2 linked regions of the Caenorhabditis elegans genome follow. The protein of the gene in region 1 interacts with the protein of each later gene in a pairwise test. Each region holds a gene or a part of one and is shown in the gene's direction. Other genes may lie near its edges. The genes, in order: rhgf-1 and gei-4.

Region 1 (3,923 bases):
CAAGTTTGTCCAAACCGGTCAACTTCCAGCTATTGGATATTTTAAAATGAGCCGTACAGTTCCAGAGAACAATCGAATGTTTGTTATGCATGTTGAACCAATATTGAAAGTTTGGTAAAGACATTTTGAAAATTGTTTCATGATAGTTTCTATTACAACGCATTGTGAAACACATTCGGATTTACTGCACCGTTCTCATGTTTATGTTATACGTTAAACATGCTGTCATGCTTTATTTTGTTTAAACCAAATGTGATATAAAACAAGAAGAAGGCACATGATGCTCAAAGTTTTCACATTTTTCAATGTTCAGCCTTGAACTAAGCAACTGTTCAAGCCGAAACAAATGTTGTTTATTGTTGCCAAATCTGTGAGTAATCTGAAACCAAAACTGAAGAAAACTGCATCGAAAGATCGATGTGGTGGGACGGAGGCAAATGCCAAAAGTATTTACTCATCATCTTCGTTCTCCATAAAGATATATTCAAAATTCGAAGAGTGTGTAAAAGCGTGTATTCGATATCTGAATCTGAAACCCGAGACGTAGCGGTGAGCACAGACACCAACGGCATCGTCCAGTTCATGAGGATGCCGAGGATAAGCCTCATGCTCTTGTCCCCAAAACGTCAAATGGCGATACGTATTGAGATATGCATCTTGGCAATCTATTAAGAATGCCGCCGCCGGCACAGTTTAGCCGGAGTGCGTTGAGAAATCAGTTTTCTAACAAGTAGATTTGCTTTTTGCTCCCTTCCTTTTTCTTCACTTGTCCGGGAGGACCTACCACCATCGTTATTCCCAACGGCAATTTTAGGCGTGTGAACTTTCTGCTTCTCATCGTACAACCTCTTTAATGTTTTCTTTCCATCTGATGTATCTTGAACGATTCTTGAGAGACACTTTCCCAGGATGGTGCCGGTGGTGAGCAGTAGGACTTCACTGCCAGTAAATTTTTTTGTTGCTTTTTTCTTGGAATCAAGAAGAATTTTAATTATTTATTTATACGGGCCTCTCTTCAAACACTGGATAACTTTTGAAATGTTGCATATCTTGAAAATGCTTCTTAGAAATTATATCAATTTTGTAATATCCAGTTTTCGAATCTGTTTGAAATATATTTATTATTTGAAATTCATTGGTCATATTTTAAAGTTAGCCAGCCTTTCATGAACTTGCCATTTTTTCTTTACAACTGCAGTTTTATATTCGCCGCTCTAAAAAAAACATCTCCAAACATTGAGAACATGTGAATTTTGTTTCCTTTTTCGCCTTTCATGTTTCTCTTTTGAAAATTCTTCAGTGAACATGTTATTTTTCAGTTTATCTTGACAGAAGCTGATGTTTTAGGAATATTTAGTTTTTTTAGAAGAAATTCCTGTGTGATTAATAGAATGACGTCAGCAAAGTAATGGTGGGAATTTCGCGAGCCCACCTTGAAGACCACCCGCGTTTTTTTAAAATTAATCACTTGTTTTCGAATTATTTGAAGTTTCATGGAAACTATCCAAGACATTCAGTTATGAAGTTAGTCAGTTATTCAGTTAATGAAGATTTTCCAATTTTTAATTTCAAGATTGGCTAGTTGTTATTTAATTCAGTGTGATAGTTTTGATTTTGATGCACGTTTGACTTCAAAGTAACTGTCATAAAATCCTGGCATTTTATTACTAACCATTTTGCTAGGTTTCATTTTATATGTATACCGATGGTTTTGAAAATTCATGTTCATACCTTTTTATTATTCTTTGAATGACCAGACGAAGAAGAACAATGTATTCTGAGTTCGTTCATTTGATTTCCACTCCCACTCGACGAGCAGGTTAACTTTTTGTCCTCTGTGAGCGTGTTGGAACAATTTTTCAACTTTCATCTTCGCATATTTTGCTCAACGATTTGCCGTGGAATTTTTAGCGTTTTGTCACTTCTAACTCCACATATAAGTTTGTTTTGAGACTAAACCAGAATACACCAACAAAAATCCATGCCTTCTTGAAGCTTTTCGTCCCCCCCCCCCCTCCTTCAGCAATAGTTTTTGGTTCTGTCTATTGACAGCGTCACTTTGTCATATATAAACATTCGTTCCGCAATCAGCGCACCAAGCACTCTTCCTCTCTTCTTCCGCACACTTGCTGCGTGTGTGGGCTCGATTTCTTAAGGAGGAGAGAATTTATTCGTCCATTCACTCACATTCTGTGTCTCCGTGATTCCGTTGGCATTTATAGTTCTTCTCAGTTTGCCATTATTGATACTTTTTACAGAAACTGTATATGCGATCGTACGAGTTTGTAACCAATACACCACTCAAACTTGATCGGCACAAAGTATACCTCGTCGACGATGTGGCTGTCACAAGGACTGTACCCTTATCGCAGCCATTATCCCCATCAACCGGTGAGCCATTTTTGCACTTTTACAATTACCTTGTCCTTCGAATTGGGTAAAAGGGTTGAACTTTAAACTTCATCATAACTCGAAATACTGTTGGTTTCAATTCGTTCCATAATTTTAGACCTATGAGTTTTGTTTTTCGTTTTATTCGGAACGCAAGAAAACAAAGTATTCGTTAGAATACACACAAAGGTAAGTTCTTTTCTTAAACACTGAAAACGTTGATTTTAGTGTTCAAAGTGCATAACTTTGTAGTTCCATCAAAAATTATTTTGCTTAAAAGCAGTGTTTCGTTGTAGCCTATCTAGCTCACTTGCTCTTTTCAACCTCTTCAACAGCATTCAAGATTGAAATCTCAACGGGATATATTGTGTGTATATGTCTTCTTCCCTTTTCCCACTCATCCCATGTTAAATTTGGCAGAAAGTTATCCCCTTCTCCTGTTATATTCCCAAGAGTCGTGTTGCTCTTGTGTTCTCAATAGGCGTTGTTGTGACAATTTTGGCGGGGTGCCTTTTGCAATAGCAACAGAGCATCAGTTTACTGGGTTTTCTGAGAATAAAGAAAAAGATGAAACGGAGGAAGAGGATCAAATCTGTTGTGGAAATTGTTTAGTCAACTTCTTTGTTGATTGCTGATTCATTTGAATAGAAAACTGAGTGATATTTAAAAACTTTTCTGAATACTTTAAGAGAGATGGGATTGACAGAATGATTTTCTTACAAAACAAGATTAAAATCGTTAGCCTTGAAGTGGATTAAATGCAACTTGAGTGCCAATTGAAAAAAAATCCGCAAACTTCCCATTGAAGAATATATTCACAGTTGTTGTTTAAATCTTGTCCTATCGTTACGTTTAACACATTAATTTTACAAGAAACTTTGATCTGAAGTCGGCAGGGGATGTCAACATTTGCAGTTTGAAAAATTTAATTATTAAATTATTAAAAAATCTGAAGAAAACCACGAGCTTTTGGTAATATTCTTCGCATTCTCCATACATTCTATGAAAAGTTGTTGAAAATAGTAATAACTAATTTCCAGTTCATGAAAGTGATCAACTATTCAGTCTTGTAGTTTATGTTTCATTGAATTTTTGCTTGTTGTCGTTCTTGCGCCACACTTAAAAAATTAACCTTCGAATACGCGCAAAACCTTACTACATGTTATTTGAACATTGGCTTCAGAGAATCTGCTTGTTGTCGTGTTACCGGCATACTTTCAGATAAAACTTTTTTGAATTCTGCGCTGAATCCAGTTTGAGAAATTTCCTTTTTGCACATTTGCTAACATTATTTATTTTTGAAAAAAAAATGAATTGCCGCCAAAAACTATGGTCCCACTTGCACTTCTGCTTAGACATCAGGATCATAAATTACAAATTAAAGTTTTATTCCATAATAATACACAAAACCTAGCAGTTGAAGTTCATTTTGATTTTTGGTGGTTTTTGTTAAACTAAAGTTTGAATATGCTTTTCAAAACATGGGTCTTATCTTTTTTCAAACACCTCAAATCTGATCGAACACTCTTCAA
Region 2 (3,923 bases), on another chromosome or scaffold:
AAGGCCTGGGTTCCCCGATAGGCCCCTATTTAACAGACCAAAGCCCAATTAGAGGTCTGATAGAGGTCTAATTTCATGGCATCTGAATACGGTAGAAGCCTAGGCAAAATTCTCAGTGTTCAGAATTTCCAGAAGTTCCTAGTGCCTCAAGGATAGCCTGAGCTCCATTCTAGTCTGATTCCACATGGTATATCCAGGACTACTGGAGAGCCCCAACAACTTTCAAGCTTTTCTAAGGCCTGGGTTCTCTATTTTAACAGACCCAAGAGGCCTGATATCATAGCCTCTGAATACGGTAGAAGCCAAGTTCTGCTCCTCTTCCTCTCCTTATACTATCTCCTGTGCTTCTTCTCCTTCTTCTTTCCTCACTGAGAGTGCCTGAGAGTTATTGTCGGCCGTCATTCGCCTCTCTTGTTTTCGAGTCTGCCGCACCCTCCGATCCATCTCTCCCCATCTTTCTCTCCGCATCACGTTACCCATTCATTCGGCACTCCTCCACGCACTCTCCACAATCGATACGCTGTCGTCACGGCCTCTAAGCACACACACTCCACGACGGGCGCGCTCTCTCGTGCCGGGTGTCTCGTGATCTCCGCCACTCGGCACAGTGTCTAGTGATGTTTGGACTCTCCGCAGCGCGCATTGTGTATGCGAGTGTGCAACGCGTCTCCGCGTCGCGGTCGGCCTCCCCTCGTACACAATGCCCCGCCCGTCTCCAATCTCTCCTCCCTCTCGTCCTATGCGCCCCAAATCGTCCTCTTCTTTTGTGTATATGTTTCGTTTTCTCTTAGTCTTCTTCCTCTTCTACTACTACTACTTTTTGCCCCCCGTCTTGTTCCCTTCATCTCCCTACACTTCTTCTTCTTCTTACCATCCCCAACCGCATCCATCCGCCATCACACACTCTTTTCCGCTGATTTTGGGAGCGCAGAGACAGAAGGCAGGCAGGCAACAAAATAGTGTGGTTAACAGTGATGATGGGAAGAGCATGGGCGGTTTAGGCGCGAAGAGGACAAATTTGAATTCTAAAAATCGACTTGAAACGGAGAGGTACAGGTTGGATTTGATGCCTTGGCCGTGAAATGGGAAAATTCGGAGGGATTTTCAGAGAACCCACAGCGATAGGAATTGGAAGACGGTATTAGAACCATTACATTAGGCTTTAGGCTCAGGTACTTGGATACGGGGCCCTCGTGGTGTCAGGCTGTCCTACTATGGTTTGATCTACAAAAAAATGCGGAAATTTTTGGCCCATAAAAATGTGACGTCAGCAAGTTCTTAACCATGCAAAATCAGTTGAGAACTCTGCGCCTCAACTCCGGCATTTTTTGTAGATCTACGCAGATCAAACCGAAATGAGACACTCTGAGACTTTTTCGTGGGGACCGCGGATATAAAAGGTCGGCCACCAAAATTCATTGCTCTTCTAGAATGCTAACTCTGCCTCTGGAACCCAAAATACCTCTGGATTTGCTGAAACTAGCTTAAAAGTGGATCAGCAGGACCTTTTCCGCAGGATTTAGAGGGACTGACCGAGTTTTCTCTTTCACGGCCACCATGTTCAAGCAGTGCACCTGGGCACCTGTGCACACAGCTCCAACACGAAAAGAAACTAAGATTTTTGCATTTTCAGTAAAATTCAGAAAATTCCACGTGGATCAGTGAAAATTTGGCGCAATTCCGTCGAAATTAGTACATGCTGGGACTATAATAAGAATTTTTTAAGCTTTTGCAGTGAGATACGTTGTTTTCAATTTTATTTTTCAATTTTTCAATCAAAATTCATGTATTCTTCTTTTGTTCCAGTCATTTTAAGCAGTGTTTTCATTATTCTAGTCTTATGAAATTCGAAAAATTGAGAAGGAGGCAAGTGCGCTCCAGTGACACTCCGGCAAATTTGAATTCGAAACTTATCTGCTTCTCTATTTTTCTCACTTTCTCCATTTAATTTCTTATTTTTCTTTGGTTTTCCTGGTTTTCCTTGGTTTTTCTTCAAAAAATTAATTTTTCAAGTGATTAAAATTGTTTCCAGCACAATTATATCCTTATTAAATCGCAATTCTCATCGGAAACTAGCTTAAAAACCTAAAATTCCAATTTTTTCAGGCTCGGAAACACAAAAAATAATAAAAAATGCAGCAGAATATACAATACACATACAGTTCGGATCCCCGCTCGGGCGGTAATCAAAATCAGCAGCTACACGGAATATCGCAATTTCAACAGAACTCCTATCAGCCGACGACGTATTCAAATTCAAATGCGAACAATTTTCATTCCTCTAATTCCGCAACTTTTATACCTAATTCAGTGACGGTAGGGGATTTTCAGGAAATCGAGTGAAAATGTTCAATTTTATTTAATTTCAGCAAACACCTCAGCGGCGGATGGGAGAAGAGAAGAGTTTAGTTAATATGCTTGACGCTTATTTTATCGACAGTACGACACCTTCAACATCAACGTCGTGGAATAATCAGCAGCCAGTTCAGGTAAAAATCGTAAAAATCGTGCGATTTGGCTTAAAAAAATGGCGGAAATCTCGAAAAATCTCGATTTTCCTCATTTTTTACCGTAAATTCTATCGTAATTGTGGTTGTGTTTGTGAATCGTGATTTATTTTATAGATGTCTTCAATACAACAATCAGTTGGATCATACAATCAACAAATACCTCAGTTGAAAGTAGGAGATGTGGTAAATTCGTTGTTTTTTCTTTGTTTTTTTTTGGGGAGAATTTCGTGTTATTCAGTGATTTTTTCAAGGAATTTTGAATTTTGCAGCTCGAAATCCGCGTGGATTTTCGCATTTGAGCGGATTTTTCAAAAAATTTGCTCAAAAAGTCGATAAGTTACTGGAACTTGCTTAGTTTTGCAACTATGGTCTGCTAAATAATTAGCAGACCAAAGGTGGGTATGCTAAATATTTAGCAGGCCCAAGTTGGGTATGCTAAATATTTAGCAGACCCAAGATGCGAAATCGAGCAGAATTTGTCCATTTCTCGAGTTTTAATGCGAATTTTAAGTTTCAACACACTGAAAACACGAATTGAATGAAATCACGCAGCGAACTCACCGAGCACACCTCAGAAACATTTCAGGACCTACAAGTAGAAGGAATGAATGTTAAACTCTCCTCGTCACCCGACAAAGGCGAGAAGGATCGAGTAAAGAAGGCGCGACAGGCAGAAGCCGCCCGAATGCGTTATCACCGACTATCAAACGAAGAGAAACGAGAGTTAAACCTGAAAAGAACGTTGGCGCAGAAGCGAAAACGGCAACGTGAGAAGGAGATGGAGGAGCTCGAATCGATTTTGCGGGAGACAAATGACATTCAAGAGGATCCGGACATCACCGAACAGCTCAGAGAGAAGAGAATGCGGGCCAAGTGGGCAGAGGCCGCCCGTACACGTTACGCTAGAATGACGCCGGAAGAGCGCCGGGCGCACAATACGCGGAGACGTATGCGGCAGATGCAGAACGCGATGAGCGCGATTAAGGTGAATATAGAACATTGAATTCTAGCAGAAAATCTGGAAAATTAGCGGAGAAGAGGAAAATTTAATTGGGTGAAAATCTATTTTTGGTAAAATCTCTCCTCCCTAACACACAAAATTTGTAATTTTTCCGCTGCTACCGTGACGTAACATTCCAGAAATCGGAGTTTCAGGCATGTGGAATGGCTACAGGAGATCCACAGAAGGACGACGAGGCTGTCCGGTTGCACATCAAGACGCAGAATGCGAAAAAAGCGGAGGCGGCTCGTCAACGGTAAGGAAGAGATTCGGGGGAATCAGAATAGCTTGGGTCTGCTAAATATTTACCATACCAAACTTGGGTCTGCTAAATATTCAGAATGGGTCTGCTAAATATTTAGCATACCCAACTTTGGTCTGCTAAATATTTATTTGGGTCTGCTAAATATTTA

The links.
Region 2: the proteins of rhgf-1 (region 1) and gei-4 interact in a two-hybrid assay, tested with the Caenorhabditis elegans proteins (one large-scale study listed by BioGRID).

The regions. Positions count from the first base shown.
Region 1 is NC_003284.9:10,710,203-10,714,125, reverse strand, and holds the start of rhgf-1 (Guanine nucleotide exchange factor), read left to right. Parts: upstream 1-2,256; 5' UTR 2,257-2,267; coding exon 2,268-2,391; intron 2,392-2,710; exon of another isoform or gene 2,711-2,837; intron 2,838-3,923.
Region 2 is NC_003281.10:346,611-350,533, reverse strand, and holds the start of gei-4 (BZIP domain-containing protein), read left to right. Parts: upstream 1-2,106; 5' UTR 2,107-2,133; coding exon 2,134-2,316; intron 2,317-2,369; coding exon 2,370-2,489; intron 2,490-2,624; coding exon 2,625-2,693; coding exon of another isoform or gene 2,694-2,846; intron 2,847-3,096; coding exon 3,097-3,495; intron 3,496-3,650; coding exon of another isoform or gene 3,651-3,665; coding exon 3,666-3,766; intron 3,767-3,923.